2 linked regions of the Tamandua tetradactyla genome follow. The protein of the gene in region 2 interacts with the protein of the main gene of each other region in a biochemical or structural test. Links are inferred from orthologs where the notes say so. Each region holds a gene or a part of one and is shown on either strand. Other genes may lie near its edges. The genes, in order: TNFSF8 and TNFRSF8.

Region 1 (8,344 bases), about 170 Mb from region 2:
CATATTTATATAAAGTATAAACTTGAGATACTGATTTCGCTGATATTATAAAATTAAAAAAAGCAAAGAACATCTCAATTATGTATGTTTGTTACCAGTAGCTTCTCTAAGATGGCTTTACAAAATTATATAGAATATAGTTTCAAGAAAACCTTTGATTTTAGACACCAAAAAAAAAATAAGGTTTAATACTGAGGCACTTTCCACTGGGTTTTATGTTACTTTCAATCAGTGAGCTAAATTTTAAAAATAATTTTTAAATTATTGATTTCTTTTTGTAAATGAGTATTAGCTGATTTAATCTCATCCAGTTGAGTGGGCTTCCTTTGGTTGGTCAATACGATAGAGAAGCTCTGCAGGTAAAAAGTATCCAAGATATCCCACTGTATCTGGAGTAGTATCATAATGGTAGTGTCCACCTTCTCCGTGGCGACTGAAACAATGAGTGCGCTCCAGTCGCAAATCAAACCTCGGGTTTCTGGAGACAAAAACTGGCAGACAAACCAAAGGAGCATTCATCCCATAAAAATGCAACCGTTTATTCATTCTTCATCAGTGTTCAATGGGCAGGAAGAAAATTCTGGGGGCTTGATTCAAGAAAAGCTGATGGGTCCAGAACACCTCTGTCAGACTTAACCTTGTTTTAAACTGTGTTTGCACATGTGCCTACTGATCTAGAACTGTAAGACCATTGTTTTCATGGTCCTTCAACCCTGCTAGGACAGCCTCACTCATTGGGTGTTATATGGCAATCAACCCATTCCATGTTCAATAATGGAATTGTAAGTTTAAGTTCCATGGGTCTCTCCCATAGATTTCTTCCCTAGAGTCTTATTAAAGTTTCCTTGCTTGTCTAAATTCTACCTATCTTTAAGTCAGTCCACATTCCCTCTTCTTGCAGGAAGTCTTTCTTGATAACTCAAGCTCAAAGGGATAACACTTTTGTCTTAATTCTTATAATAGTTAACATCTGAACAATCCACTGGAAATGAAATGTTGAAAGAGCTCAACACAACATTACTATTGATATTAATATTACAGGCCTTAGTTTTTAAGCAAGAGATTGATGTTTCTCATGCTGAGAAACCACAGCATGCCAAATTGTACAGATTGTGAGATGAATCCATTCATACCCAAGCATGAAGGGTAAGTCAAGAAAATGGATGCACAAGAAGATAAGGCCTCCAAGAGAGGAGTGGGGACAGTTCCTTAGGTCTGTCGCTGTCTATATTGACAAAAGCAATGCTACCACTTTCTCAGGATGAGATTTAATTCAAGTACTGTCCTTTCTATTCTTCTCATTCTCCACATTTATTCAAAGGAAGCAGAAAGAGCCACTCCAGTATCATGGAAGAAATCAATTAAACTAAAAGTTAGATTTGAATGAGGACCATTCTGGAGCTCTTTCTAGCTTTATATATCACCCTTTTCTCCCCAACAAATATCAACCATACTGTCTTTTCTCTTTCTCTCTTCCTTCCTTCCTTTCACGTTCTCACTCTTCCTCTCTTTTTCCTTCTTCTTCTTCCTCGTTCTTCGTCTTAGCAGTTCTATCTGCATCTTTTAACTAAAGAACTTCTTAAAGTCCACTTCAATTTCTTTTCTTTACTGCTATGAGATGACTACCTCTAGTTAACTCATAATTAGAGCTATAGAAATTATAGAGTATCTGCCAAGAAAAAGATTCCCTAGAATGTTTGCACGAGTATTAATCTTAGTAGATGTAGATGAGCCCATTAAGTAATGTTTTACAAATTTCCATTATCTAAATAAAATGTTAAAAATTCTGTATCCTTTCACTTTTATGGATATGTGAGCTTCAAAACTTTATTTAAATTTTGAAGCCTGTTCACACTTGAGGAATGGATACCAAAGCATTTTAAAACCTAGATCTTTTTTGCAATCAAGAAATTATAGAGCATTTGACATTAGACAATGGGAGGAGACCCACAGCAAATTCTGCAGGATTGCTAAACCATGAAAAATGGATGCTATAAAGAAATAAACATAGGGCTGGGGAATGGAGAGTACATTCTCAAATTATCTGTTCTTTAAACACAAAAAATTTACTTCATTAAAAAAATTCATGTGCAATATATGTGATCAGCACAGTCTTTTCAATAAAATACATACTGATGGATTCTCTGTAAATGCAGATTTTCTAAACTGTGAAGAAGCTTCCGTCTTCATCTCTTCTGTTTTCAGAAACAAATCTTAACCCTTTATTTCAAACTAAGTAAACCTCCTGAGATGGCTTTACCCTGTATAGCGTGTACCTCATGATTGCTTTAATTTTAGAGTTCTGAGGAGGCTTGGAGGGAATGGTTTGTTAAAATTATCTCTATTTTTTTGCCTTTGCACTCTACACCCTAAACTCTTCAAAGCAGAGGCATGTTTTCAATTTTCCCTGTGGCTTTTAATGCTGAAATGCCAAAGCCCTAAGGAGCTTTTGTCTGCTCCCTTGCCCCCCTCCATTAATGACTTTGACCCTTGAGATTGACCTCCCTGTTTAAAGGTCTTGGTGACGGATGTGGTCTCAGAAGCCCGAGGAACATCTGGACTGAGGAGATGAACATTGGAATCTGGTCTCAAAGCCTTGAAGACAGGACAGCAAGTTGTGCAAACATGCTATCAGGTGTCCGTATCTATTCTTTCCTTGATATGAGTCTCTGGCATAACAAGATTTAAATCTTAATTTCTAAAGGCCAACAGTTGCCCTCCATCCTTTTGGCTCACATGAGCCTGGAAAGTTTTGAGATAATGGCTTAAGAAATATTTCTTGAAGGGTCAAATGATTTCAAAGAGTTAGGCTCCTGTTTCTTTTCTCCCTTTCCTTATATGATATATGTTTTTTTTTTCTCTCTCTCTCAATTTGTAGTTTTGTTTTTTTTTTAACCAAATTCTCCCTGGAGGAAAGTAAACATAAATTAGAAAGGAGAGGCAAGGCGAAGGAGCCCACTTACCGTTCTTTGAACTACCAACACCATGATGGTTGCCACAGCAAAGACGAGACTCAGAGCCAGGGTGGCTGTGGTGAAATAGAAATAACTCCGGATAGGGGATCCCAAGTGGCTGGAGACAGAGTCTGACGGCCCATGCATGGCTGGGTCTCGGAAGGGGGCCACCCTGTTGAGTGTTTGCGACAGTCCAGTGTCCATTGTTTATATAGTCGTCCCTGCATCACACCTTATCTCTCCTCATCTGAGTCGGTTCTGGGCCCATCTCGGTTCCAAGAAGGATTCTCCCCCTGCATCCTGGATCACGTGACCTGGAAAAAAACCTTCACCAGCTGCCTTGTGAAGAAAACCTTTTCTGGGGGCGTGAGGCAAAAGGCAACTGCAAGAGTGGGGGAGAAGTTCATTTTTCATCGCCAGGGATTAATTTGAGTGCAGAGAAACTGCAGCTACGGAGAAGGTGGCTGATGTCAGAGGGCGCATAGGAAAATGACAGTTCCCCTACTGTATGTGTGTGTGTGTGTGTGTGTGTGTGTGTGTGCGCGCGCGCGCGTACAAAGAGACTTTGGTTTCACTTAGACTCAACCACGAAACTCCTTCCTGCTTGAGAGGCTGCACGTTCTCTTCAGCAAGGTCTGCTGCTGGGAAGACCTCCTCGGATGCCTCTGGGCTGAGTTTTGGGAAGGCTGGACCCTTTTGACTTAAAACAGTTTAGTCTGATAATATCAGCCCCTGGTGGGAACTAGAAATGCAATCAGGTGTCTGGGAAGGAAGAGTCCACCAACATGGAGTTTTTACCCAAAAAGGGGACACCCTCGTGGCAGCATGAAATCTGGGGACAAGTTCAGTGATACTGTAGTACAGGGGTCCAGAAACACTGCCCTTTTCTGCAAAGTGCTTTGGGATCTGTTAAATGTGCATATCAACCCGGGCCTGATAAAAAGAGGAAGGAATTTGTGGTATGGAGGTGGGAAGGTGGTGTGGTAGGGAATGTGCGGTGTGTTTGTGGTGTCTGCGGATGTGGTATGTTACGTGTGTGTTGTGTGTGTGTGTTTGTGGTATATGTTGTGTTTGTGGTAGGTGTTGCATATGTGTGTTGTAAGTGTTTATGGTGTGTTTTGTGCGTGCTTGTGTATGTGTATGTGACTACTATAATTAGATCTCTGTTCCAGGCACAGCGCTAGGAGATTTACGTACATTGCCTCACCCTACCCTCTCCTTGGCTCTCTGAAGCAGTCATAGACTTCCCATACACAGGATGGGAAAATTGAGGTTCAGAGAAAATGAAATCTGTTGGGCAATGAAAGAACTTGAATGTCATCAAAACCTGCCTGGCCCCAAAGCCTGTGCAATCCCATTCAAACTTTATTGCGCTTGAAGGCTCAAAAGCAGAGGTTTGGGCTCAGCCTTACCTCTTATTAGCCTTGGGTGTTTGAACAAGTCCTTATGTCCCTCTCTTTTTCCATCTGCAAAATGGGCTAAGGACACCTGCAATAATAGTCATTATGAAGATCAAATGGCATGATGATGTAAGAGTGCTTTGTAAATAGGAATAGTCTTGGTGGATGATTTAGGGCCATTCTTTTTCAAACATCCAAGTGGCCAATTCTGGAATTGAGATAAATACAATACATAGGTTCTCTTGGGGGGACAGAGCTGGGTCACACATCTCTGGTTACTAATGATTGAGGCAGGGGATCTCCCTGGCTGACTCTCAATTTCAAAACCCCATTTAAAATGTGAATCATTGCATAGCTACTGTCTCCAGATGTGGTTGTTTAAAACCGGGAAGTAACCAGTTATTTGTAGAACTCCTCCCCTTTCTGCTCAGTTTTTGGCTGTAGTAGATCTGTGAGAGGCAGTGATTATCTCAGACCCCAGGACATTTCTCAGGAAATATCCTGGCTGACTTTGGATTTTTTATCACTGCCACAGTCTTGTCAATCTAAAATTTCGGAGGATCACCTGAGTTAAGTCAGCTTCTGGGAGTTGGTCTGGATGTCATGTTCCTTCCCAATGAATCCAAGTAAGAACATAGATCCTGGAGAAGGAAGAGGAATTGTTTTCTTGGGCTAAGTCAAGTGGGCGGCAGTATACTTATTCTACAGTTGAGGAGGTTGGCGTCCTCTTGAACCCAACTTGAACTGAGTTTTGGAAGAAATGTGTATGCACATTCATTTGGTCTGGTAATTGAGGAGGGAATGAAAGAAGCCAGTGTTTTTAGGGGTGTGTTCAGTGGCTGTTTTGGGGAGAAGGTTGAGTCCTGTGGGAGACACAGGCAGTGAGTGGGTAGCAGGGGGCTCTCTAATCTGCCCAGAGCTGCTGAGAACCAGCTCCTCCCCCAGTCCTCTGTGTTCAGCCTCTTTGATGAAAATGGAAAACTTCTGATTGTTGAATGGAAGCTGTGGGTGTTGAAAAATAAAAAGGGTTTGCTTGAAGTGCCCGGCTTCCTGAAGGCCCATGGGGTTGAGAAGGGCAGTGGAAAAAAATGTTTGTCTTACAGTTACCCGTTTTGCATACAGTACAGTGTCCTGGGAGGGAAGGCTGACAAGGGGGAAAAATAACGCCCGTTGATTTTACTCAGAACCTTCTGAGCAGTTGAGATTTTCAGATCGGTTTGTTTCTCCAGCTGCTTTTGGGCCAGATTTCGCACATTTGCTGGTGGTGCCCTTCTACTCAGAAGCCTTCGGTGGTTCCCTATTCCTGTCCCCGTTAATCTTACCCTTCTTTGTCTTCCAAGCTGCACCCCGCTTAGCGGGTACCAGCCTGTGTCTAATTGGCTTCTTTCTTTTATTCAGCCACCAAGTTTGCCCACGGAAAGAGCCTTTACACAGAGTTTCTTGTGGAGTGGTTTTCAATTCCTTTCTGGAAGTGAAACTCGATAAAGAGAGAAAAGATGCAAGAAAGAGGAACAGCTCTGCCTGAAGCAAGGTTGGGACAAGGAAAAGGGGTTGGTCCTGCCTATTCGTCCACCCTCTTCTAACCTGGGGCCACTCTAAGATGGAATAACATAGGAAAACTTCTGACTGAGCTCAAACCCTTCACTTCCCCCAAAGGGAAACTGAGACATAGAAATGGCAGTGTCTTGGTAGAGTTCACATGGACAGGGGTAGAGACCTGCTTAGAAGTCTCCTCTACACTTTCTTATCTACTCTCTGCTAATATTCTAGGTGCTCGCAGGCTTCCTCTGATGTTTTCCTCACCCTTCCGCTGCTTCAGATCTTTCCTGTCCTTCCAGCTGCCTGCCAGCCTTCCTCACCATCTCCAGCAGAGCCTTCCCAACCTCTTGAGTGAAATACCCTCTTCAGCAACCCTTTTTCTCCATGCCACATAACCTCATTGCTAAGTAGCTACTTCTCTTGCTCTTCTCAGACTTCTGAATCCTTGTAAACCACCAAGCCTTATTGGAGACTGGGACCTATGGTCAGTCAACTCTCAGTCAGCACTTGTGTTGACTGTCTTTGTGTTTATGGAAAGAGAAAGCCCTAGAATGGTGGCTTAGATAAAAGAATTGGATGATGGCATATTTGCCTCTCCCTTCTTAGCTGCCCCAACCCCCATTTGTCCATTCTCTTTAGATGGTTTACTCAGCTGTCCATTGGCCTTTATGTTCTAGTCTGGCCATGTGAGCTTGACCACCAGCCTCTTCTCAGCCAGTTATTAGTGGCTGAGGTGTGGCTGCAGTACCTACAACTCAGTGGGAAAACAGAACTGATTTGTCATCCCTACAAGAGAGAACCCCATTTTGAGAAAATGAAGAGGAACCACCTATAGGACTTCCCATTGCTTCCGCATATAAGGGACTGTGAGATCTCTGTCACATAGGCTAGTAGTTCTCAAAATGTGGTCTGGGAACCAGTAGCATCAATATCACCTGGAAAGTTATTAGAAATGCAAATTCTCAGACCTTACCCCAGACCTACTGAATCAGAAACTCAGGCTGGGGCCCAGTCATGCGTGTTTTAACAAGCACTCCAGGGAATCGTCATGCATGCAAATATTTGAGAATCAGCGGTTTAGGGAAATAAGTTGTCTAACTTCTAGGAAGAACTCCGGGAGATAATCTGGTCCAGATTCTGGCATTTGGCAGGTGAATTACTATGCCCATTGTGCAGATGAGAAAACTGAGGCATAGAGAAATTATTGTCTGGGGTCATAAGCTGGGTAAGGGTTGTGTGAAGACTAGTTTTTCTGCCCCGTGATTGAGATCTCTTTCAAACCTCAAATATTAGGTTAGCCTAGGTTGTAAGCCCTGAAAATATTACCGATGATGTAGCTGGGCATATATTTGTAAATAAACAGAAGGAATTTTATTTATCTAAATTTCTCTTGTGGTGGTCACAGTTTGTGATAGAAAGAAATATATTTTTTTAATCTACTGGTGTATGTGAGAGAAGGAGGGACTCTCTCAGGATATGCTCAAGCAGTAAAGCATGCAACTAAACCATCTTGTGTGGAGGGAGTTTCCTGTGCCATCAGTTCAAAAGCCATTGTCTTGCTGGGGCTAATGTGAAGAGGCTGGGCATCGGAATCGGACCAGAGGGACATTTCCGTGACAAGAACCAGTGAGGGTAGGTACAGTGGGAGTAAGGTTTAGAGTAGAAAGCAGCAAACTATGGCCCATAGCCCAAAGCTGGCCAGGCACTTATTTTTGTCAATGAAATTTTATTGGAACATGACGACATCCATTATCTATGGCTGCATTTGTACTACCCCAGCAGGTTTGATGAACTCTCTTGGCACACAAAGTCTAAAACAGTTACTATCTAGTCCTTTACAGAAAATATTTCTGAAACCTAGTTTGTAATATCAAAATAAACCTAAAGCAGGAGAACTGAGAAGAGGTTTGGGGAAAAGAATAGAAATGCATTGCTTAAGACTCCCTTACAAAGTTTTTGGTAATACCTACGTTTCTGATTCGCACTTTCATGTGAGAGAATTCTTTTTGGGATTCACTAATTGGAGAGGAGTTGTATGTCCTGGATGGTGCACGACAAAAATAGACTTCTTGAGAAAACAGAATAGCTGAAGGATGAGGGGTGTGGGCTGAAGACGTCTGGGAGACTAATAGGTAGACTTTTAGAATATAATATTCGCATATTATATATTTATATGTTACATAAATACACACACACTCACACACATATACATAAGACATATATATATATATTTTATCCCTGCCTACTTTAAAACAGTTTTAAGGCAATTTATGATAAATGTACAGGTATATAAGAACTGGAGCAATTAATCCAACGTAAAGATAGAAACCATGATATAGCAAAGAGAGTAAGATAAAAGTACTAAGAAACTCTAGTTGATGACACTTTGAGAATTTGTATACAAGATGCATACCTCTGGGCTTCCTGACAACAAGGACAAAGAAGGAAACA
Region 2 (8,579 bases):
CTGAGGCCACGTCTTGCTTGAGTAACCAAGTGCTAACAAACAAGTATAGTTACTGAAGCATTATCTAAATGCTTTCAAACTTTCTAATATATTGTGACATAGCCAGAAGCAAATACCTCTGATCGTTGCCATCTTTACCTTGTGACGAGACGTAACTGGCCCGGCTTGTATCCCCTTCTCTTGTTTTATAACCCTGAAGTCTGATACTCCTGCATGTAACCCCTCAGTGTTTATTAATGAAGTCACATGAGTCAACCCAGAACTAACCACCCCAATTCCTAATCTATTTTGCTAGACCAAGCCAGTTCTAATCACAGTTAGCCCACGCCTTACATGCACAGTAGCCTAAACCTTAAAGTGAGCTGAGCATGAAATCAATATGTGCATAATCAGAAATGAGACTAACTCTAACCTCATCACCTCAAACCACCTCATTACCCTAAGCCTGCCTGCCCTTATTTGAATGCTATGAACCACTGAAATCTTCTCCAATTTGGGGAGACAGATGTAAGGAACTGTCCTGCTGTCTTCACAAGGCTAGCCTTTGCTAAATAAAGTTTTTCTCCTCTTAAAATCCCAGTGTAGGGTGGGCCACGGTGGCTCAGCAGGCAAGAATGCTTGCCTGCCATGCCAGAGGACCCGGGTTCGATTCCCAGTGCCTGCCCATGTTAAAAAAAAAAAAAAAAAATCCCAGTGTCACTTAATTGACTGTGATGCACATCGGACAAGGGCTCACTTTTGAGCGGCAATATTTACAGCCCTGGGAGAAAGCCTCAGTCCCTTGGATGAGATTGGGTACACCCACCTAGCCCCACCCTGGCTCTCCACCTAACACTGGGCCTGGCTTCCACACTCTTGCCCCCCACACCTGGGCAGGCCTCTCATCTGCAGGGAGACCCCTTCTGCAGGAAATAAGTCTGGACATCAAGAAGAAGGATGATCCAGGAGGCATGGTAGAGAAGAGGAAGTGGGTTTGTAGCCCCAATATCAGCTCTTAACTGATATGCCCTGCTGTACCCAAAGAGCAAGGCCTTGGGGGTCTGTATCAAATAAGTCAAGATTCAGATCTTGAAGGCTCAGGTTCAAATCCCAGCTAAGCCACTGACCAGCACGGGGCCTTGTGCAAATCCTAAACCTCTCCATGTCCAAGTTTCTTCACTTGCTGTGGAATTTAATAATAGCACCTACCTCATGGGGTTCCTGTAAGGGTTTGTTACGGGATGACCTGCATCTGGGAATCCGGCCTTATTTGAAAATAGGGGCATTGCAGATGGAATTCATTAAGTTAAGATGAGGTTTTATGGGAATGGGCTGGGCCTCCAATCCAGTAGGACTGGTGTCCTTATAAGAAGAGAAGAGACAGATGAGAGAAGATGGCCATGGGGTGACGGAAGCCAGGATTGAAGTGTTGCAGCTGCAAGCTGAGAAATAGCAAGGATTGCCAGCAAACCCCTAGAAACTGGAAGAGGCAAGAAAGGAGTCTCCCCAAGTACCCAGTTCATGGTACTTGGTTACAGCAGCCCCAGGAAACTAAGACAGGGTTCAGTGAGCTAATTCTGTAAAAGACACAGCACTATGGCTGGCACACACGCATACTCAATGTTAATTACAGTAGTTGTGAGGCAGTGAGCTCCCTGTCACTGAGGGCATGTAAGCAGAGGGCTGGGGAATCTGTCAGGACAACTGGAAAGGGGATTATAAAAGGGTCAGAGTAAGAGGATGGATTTGGTGACATCTAAACCTCTCAGACTCAAAGGTCTCCCAGCTTCCTTCCTCTACCACCCCGCCCCCGTGCAAACCCTGCCACACAGCTGAGTGCTGATTGTAGACCACGGACAAAATGTCAGAAATTTCCCCAAGAGACCAAGGGAGGGGTTTTTGTGGGTTTTTCGGCTTCCCTCACTTGCTTGCCCGGAAGCACTGGGCCAATAAAACTCCAGCAAAATGCCCTGCCCAGTGCAGCCGCGTGGGGTGGCCACCCGCAGTCACAGGCGCCTGGGAGAGGTGGGGGGCCGGGATTGTGCCTCTTCCCCCTCCCCACTGCCCCATCCCACCGCCCCGCCCCACCCCTTCATGGCCTCAGGGCCCTGTCAGGCTGGATCAAAGGGGCCAGAGAAGGGTGAGAAGGAAGTGGCTGGGACTGCAGACCCCATGGAAAGCCGCAGAACTCTGGGGGCCACACCCCGCCCAAAGGGGAGAGTGAAAGCCCTGACTGAGCTTAGCCCGGGAGGTGCCGTGTGGGAGACAGCACAGGCATGTGTGACAGACCTCACGGAAGAGGGGGCAGGCTTTGGCAGGTAGGAGACAGTGGGCAGGGCCCCCCAGGTAGAGGAGCAGGCCTGGGCAAAGGGCCAGAGACCTGAAAGCCCCCAGTATGTCCAGGGACACCAAGCACAGCTTTCTACAGAAAGGCCAAGGGCCAAAGAGTGACCTCACTATAAGAACTAGCAATAAATATTTGTTGGATGGGTAGATGGAAGAGCTCATGGGAGAGGGGTGGGAGGCAGTGGGAGAAGTGTGCATGGGAGAGGGGGTGTGGGGGGAGAAGGGTGACAGACAGATGGAGCAGGCTTGTCCTCCGATGACCTGCTGTCCTCAAAGCACTGCAGCAGTTACGATGAACCAGACACGTTCCCGGCATAGCTGGCATAACTGCTCTCTTCCCTCCCCTGTGACCTGCCCTGTCCCCGGAGGTCAGAGGACACGGTGCACTTTTATCTTTTTCCAACACAGCTAAGGTCCCTGGCCATGCCTTCTGAGGATGGAAATACCTCTGGACCTCATGCTACTTGCTCACCTCCTTGGGCCAGAGCATCGTCTGTGAGATGGGAAGGACAATGCCCGTCCCTGTTCTCAGAAGCTTTTCCTGATAATCCACCAGGAGCCAACCACTGTGGGGGTGGGCGAGCACCCCAGGAAGCATGCTCTGGGCAGGGAGACCGGTCCCTTGAAAGCTCTACTGGCATGTTCGGGGCTGGAGCAGTTGAGGAAGGCAAAGGACTTCCAGGCACCCGAAGCGGGGCGGTCGGTGGGTGTTGACAGCCCAGGCTCTGGGGAAACGCAGCCCTGGGCACCGCCAGCCCTGCCGCTCTCAGCTCTGCGGCTCTGGGCAAGTTACTTACCCTTGCTGAAGCCCTGCTGTCCTCTACTGCAAAATGGGAATAGGGAAGGATAATTGGGAGGTCTTCATGAGATGATGCAACGCATGGGAGGTCTCAGAACAATAGGGGCCGCTAGAAATTGACAGCAGAACTCACAGACCTACCTTCTTCCTTGTGGCAGCAACAAACCTAGTCTCCTGATCCTTCTCGCCCTACTCTTCCAACAGAGAGTTTCTAGATTGTGGATTCCTCAGGAAAGTCCTTGCAGAATCTTAAACCGATTGTGACAATGATGATGTGGGCTATGGTCTTCCCAGAGGATTGTGGCCTTGAGGCAAAAATCCCCCCCTGTCCCCACCCCAGGCACCCCACTCACCTGCAGGGCAGTGGTAGCAGCACCTGCCAGCTGCCTTGTCATAGTAGCGCCTGGGGTCTCTGCCACAGGTGTTCCTGGGGGCTCGGTCCTGGGGGGTCAGACATGCCGAGAGCTGGTCAGCGGGTGATCAGTCCCCCCGTGGGCCCCTCCAGCCCCAGGAAGCCCAGTGTCGTCTCCACTCGCTGTCAGAGCCAGGCTGGGACCGAGCCTCATGTACAGCCGGGGCAGGAAGGCCTGACTCCACCTCTCCCTCAAACCCACTGCGCCGCGGACATCCCCGTGGCCGGTCAATGACAACCCCAGCAGGCAGTAGCTCAGACCCAAGCCCTCCGAGACTTCCTTGAGTCTCTCTTCCTCTCGTCCTTGCATCGACCCACCAGGAAATCCTCACGGCCCTCTTCGGACCACTCAGCCCCCCTCCTCCCCCTCCTGGCCCAGCATGGACTTTTAGTAAACTTGTTTGTTGCGGTCTAGCACCCATGGAAAAGTGCACAGAGGGCAAGCGTGCAACCCACTGACTTTCAGTGTTAACACACTTTGCAATCAGCACCCAGACCTCATGGTCATTGCCAGCACCCCAGCCACCTCCACATGCCCCTTCATGCTACATCCCCAAAAGGTACCCACCAACCTGACTTCTACACCCCAGATTAGCTTTTGTCTGTTTTCGAACTTGAGACCACTAGCATCACGCAGGCTGTTTGTTCTCTTGCCACTGAACTCTTCAATTCAACATTATAGTGTGAGAATGATCCATGTTCTTTGCTTTGCACTATTGCATTGCATGAATATGCACAGATTATTTCTCTGTTCTACTCTTGATGGAATATTAGGGTTGTCTCCAGTTTTTTATTGTGATGGATAGTGTGGCTAAGAGCATTCCTATACAGATATTTTGCTGCATAAATGTTCACATTTCTGTTGTGTATAGACTTAGGGGTGGAACTGCTGGGCCATAAGGTATGCATAGGTTCAGCTTCAATAGATTCTCCAGTTTCCCAAAGTGGCTGTATCAACTGATACCTCCCGGCAGTGTGTGCGAGTTCCCACTGTCCACATCCTTGCCAACACTTGGTATTGTCAGTTTTTTAATGTTAGCCATTTTGGTGGATGTGTATTGGTATCTCATTGTGTTTTTTATTTACCTTTCTCTGATGAGAAATGAGATTGGGCACTTTCACATGGTTACTAGCCATCTGGATATTCTGTCATGTAGAATGTCTGAGTCTTTTGCCCATTTTTTTTTAATTGGGTTGTCTGACTTTTTTTTATTTGTTTGTTTATATATTTTAGATACAAGTCCTTTGTTGGATATATGTGTGGTAAATATTGTCTCCCGTCCCACAGCTTGCCTTTTCTCTTTCTCCATTGACTCTTTTGATGAACAGAATTCTTAAGTGTAATGAAGTACAATGTAGCCATCATTTCTCTTATGGTTAATTCCCTTTTTTGTGTCCTGTTTAAGAAACATCTGCCCACCTAATATCATTTAAATAGTCTCTTTATCTTCTAGAAGATGTCATTTAACTTTTCCTGTTTGCGTGGACAAGCCATCAGGAATTCCATCTTGTGTGTGATGTGTGATGGAGGCAAGGCTCACTTTTTTCAGGAACATGCATTTTTACCAAGCCCTCCCCCAACATAAGTCTGGTACTCTTTAAAAATTCAGCCCCACTGCCGGAGGGGATTCAAGAGAAGAAAAGTTTCTGCTGGAATCCTGGAGAAGGGATTCTGGTCTTCTTGGGGGGATGGCTGGAGAGCACCGAGGCAGGCTTCCAGGGAGACAGAGCTACCTTTAGGATGGACGAGGCTCATCCAGGGGGAAGGGAAGAACTTGGTTTGAGGAGAAGAAAGCAGAAAAGCTGGACCCCTCTCAGGAGGGAGGCCTGGCTGCCCCAAAAGGGCCATCACCCCCTCTTCTTTCCCCTCAAGGCAACAGTGCAAACTATAAAACCAATATATCTTGTGTGTTCAGAGAACAGAAAGGAGTCCAGCTGGCCAGGTGCATGCACCTAGTTGTGTTGATACCATTTTTCTTTTTTTTTTTGCACATCTGAAACATATCACCATATAAATTTGAAATAATAACTATAGCCTGACATTTGCATGACACCAGTCTCTTGGAACTTGTGTGTCTCTTTTCTCATCTAATCCAGAGCCCAGGGACATGAGGCCACCCCACCCCACGTCCAGCTCCTCCTTCCAGCAGGATCTCATACCTCCCAGCTGTAAATCGAGGCACTCTTGAGAGCCTTGCCAGGGGGCAGACACCTGCCAACACAACCGGAGGTTCCCCCTGACCTCCCAGCATCTCCCTGAGCAGCCTCGGAAGCCTGCGAGTGGAATGGGTCAGGGCACGAGGGTTGGGCAGTACTGGGCCAGCTGAGGGTTGGGGAAATTCTGGGGCCCTGGCCTGGGTTTCCCCACCAGGCCTGTCTGCTCATCTCCCGAAAGCCTGCAGAATCGGAGGGGCCACAGCCTCAGGTCCCTGATCACTCTGCCAGGATGTGGGGAGGCAGCTGGGTAGGGGGAGTTTGGCTGCTCTACCCTTCATCTCTTGCCGTGAACACCCCAAGTCAATGGAGGGATGGGGTACAGTGTGTGGAGAATAGGGAGCCCAACAGTGTTGGTCTTGGTGCTTTCACACATCTCCTTACTTCCCCTACCCCCACCCCCGAGCCCTGGGGGTTGATCACCCCATCTTATAAATGAGGAAACTGTAGAACTGCAGCCCAGAGAGGTGCAGTCACCAGCCCAAGGTCACACAGCAACTAAGCACAGAGAAAAGATTTTACCCTCAGATCTATCCCGTCTCTGGGCCCTGGGCTGGGCAAGACACTGTATCACTTCTGTGGTCCTTCAACCAAAAGTCTGTAATCTGAATCTAATCATAGCAAACATCAGGTAAACCCAAACTGAGGTACTTTCTACAACAAATGACCTGGGCTCTTTAAAAATGTCAATGTACAAGAGACAAGGAAAAGTTGAGGAATTTGCAGATAAGGACACATGATGACTGGCTACAATGCCTAGATTGGGTCTAAACGGCAGGGCAGGGTGGGATTGTAAAGTTGCTATAAAGGACAATACTGTAATGACTGGTGAAATTTGAATATGAAATTCATGTTTGATAATGTTATATTACTGTTGTTAAACACCCTGCATTTGATCATTTGTTTATTAAGAGATGTCTTTGTTGCAGAAAAAACATGCTGAAGTATTTAGAGATGAAGCATCACAATGTCAGCAACTGACCTGCAAATGGTTTGACCAAAGAAAATAGTAATAATATGTGACACAAAAAGAGAGAGAAATAAAGCAACTGTATCAAAGCACATATGTAAATAACAGCACCTAAAGGATGCTAAGTGCTTCGGAGTGTCAGCTCTTTACAACAATAATTCTGGGTAACTGGAAGGAAGGAGCTGGGGTATACAGTTTGCCATCGGGGAGCGTTTTCTTGTGGTTTACTGAGGACACAGGATCTCAGCCAGGGCATCAGGCCTGTCTAGCACCAGGAAGGAAGAAGTACAGGGTTTCTATGTGGGGCTTATGGCGGAAGGGAGGCACCCCCTGCCCCCACGGAGAAGTTGGGCCCCAGCTCCCTCCAGCCACTCCCAGAGGTGCAGGCAGGGCCTGGGTGGAGGCACAGCTCAGCTGTCACCTAACACCCACCCCACCTGCCCCTGGCTGACCCCGAGGAGACCAGTGGTGGAACAGCAGGGAAATTATTTTCCTATGACATCATCACCTTACAAGCATCCAGAAAATGGGGTCAACTCTGCCCTCATGTTGTGGAAGTAACAACCCAGCAACCCCATGGCCACTGTTACTGTGGAAACTGGGTCAGAGAGGGGGCACCGGCCAAGGGCCACACTGTGTGGGAGACCCAGGGGCTGAGCCCAGGTCAGGAGATTCCTGACCACCATGTGAGTATATCAAACACCTGCTCTGTGCCAGATAGCCGAATAGGACCCGGGGGGAGGGAGAGGGGAGCTCAGAAACCAAGAGAGACTACATCTGGGCCCTTCGTCTCACCCAGAAGTGCCCGTCTGGTCCCCCGACACTGGCCCAGGGTCCCCACAGCCCCACTCATTGCTTTCCCTCTGTGATCTCCCCCATCTGCCCCACTGACCCCTGTTACTCTCCACCTCCCACCCATGGGCCCTTCACCCATCCCAGGTCCCCACAGAGAAGGTGGCAGCAGCCAGGAAGTCTAACTCTTCTGATTTGCCACAGCTCCGTCCACTGTCACCAGCCATGGGGCCCCACCCTGGACGGCTGGTCAGCAATGGCTGCTACCGAGCAAGGAGGCCGGAAGGGCCAGCCCTACCTAGGAGGGCAAGGGGTCAGAAAGGAGAGAGTGGGAGGGGGAAGCCCAAGGACTGGAAGGGGGGCTTTTGGGTGGGGTTCCCCAGCAGGGTGAAGGCTGAGCAAGGCGTCTGCAGGGTGCTGAGCTGACACCCAGCCTTAGGGGCCTCAAGATAAAGAGAGTGGTCTGAAACCATCCTATTTCTAAACCTATCTATTTTCAAATCAGTTTGTTTTTCCCTGTAAAAACCTGGTAAATTTCACCCTCAAAAAGCACCACCTGGGGTGCACGGGGGGTTCAGTGGGTGAATGTCTGCCCTATATGCGGGTTTGATTGCCAGACCATGCACCCCCCCCAAAATAAATAAATAAATAAAAAGCACCACCTGGTCTCAGCTGAAGGAGAAAAAGGAGCTGAGGGTGGCTGGTCAAGGACTGAGGTGGGAAAAGGTGGGAGAGAAGTGAGACTAAATAAAGTTTCTGTGGCTGAGAGACTTCAGAGTCGAGAGGTTATCCTGGAGGTTATTCTTATGCATGATAAAGATATCCCTTTTTGGTTTGTGGTGTATTAGAGACGCTGAAGGGAAGTACCTGAAACTGTAGAGCTGTGTTCCAGTAGCCTTGATTCTTGAAGACGATTGTGTAACCATATAACTTTTATAATGTGACTGTGTGATTGTGAAAACCTTTGTGTCTGATGCTCCTTTTATCCAGGGTATGGACAGATGGGTAAGAAATTAAGGACAAAAATATAAATAAATAATAGGGGAGGGATAGAGGGTAAAAAATTG

Evidence for each region.
Region 1: the proteins of TNFRSF8 (region 2) and TNFSF8 form a complex in vitro, tested with the Homo sapiens proteins (2 studies listed by BioGRID and IntAct). The link is inferred for Tamandua tetradactyla from reciprocal best matches to the Homo sapiens genes TNFRSF8 and TNFSF8.

What each region holds. Positions count from the first base shown.
Region 1 is NC_135328.1:42,671,519-42,679,862, reverse strand, and holds the start of TNFSF8 (tumor necrosis factor ligand superfamily member 8), read right to left. Parts: upstream 3,434-8,344; 5' UTR 3,159-3,433; coding exon 2,964-3,158; intron 1-2,963.
Region 2 is NC_135328.1:213,358,253-213,366,831, forward strand, and holds the start of TNFRSF8 (tumor necrosis factor receptor superfamily member 8), read right to left. Parts: upstream 3,566-8,579; 5' UTR 3,478-3,565; intron 1-3,477. UniProt on the Homo sapiens protein: Receptor for TNFSF8/CD30L. May play a role in the regulation of cellular growth and transformation of activated lymphoblasts. Regulates gene expression through activation of NF-kappa-B.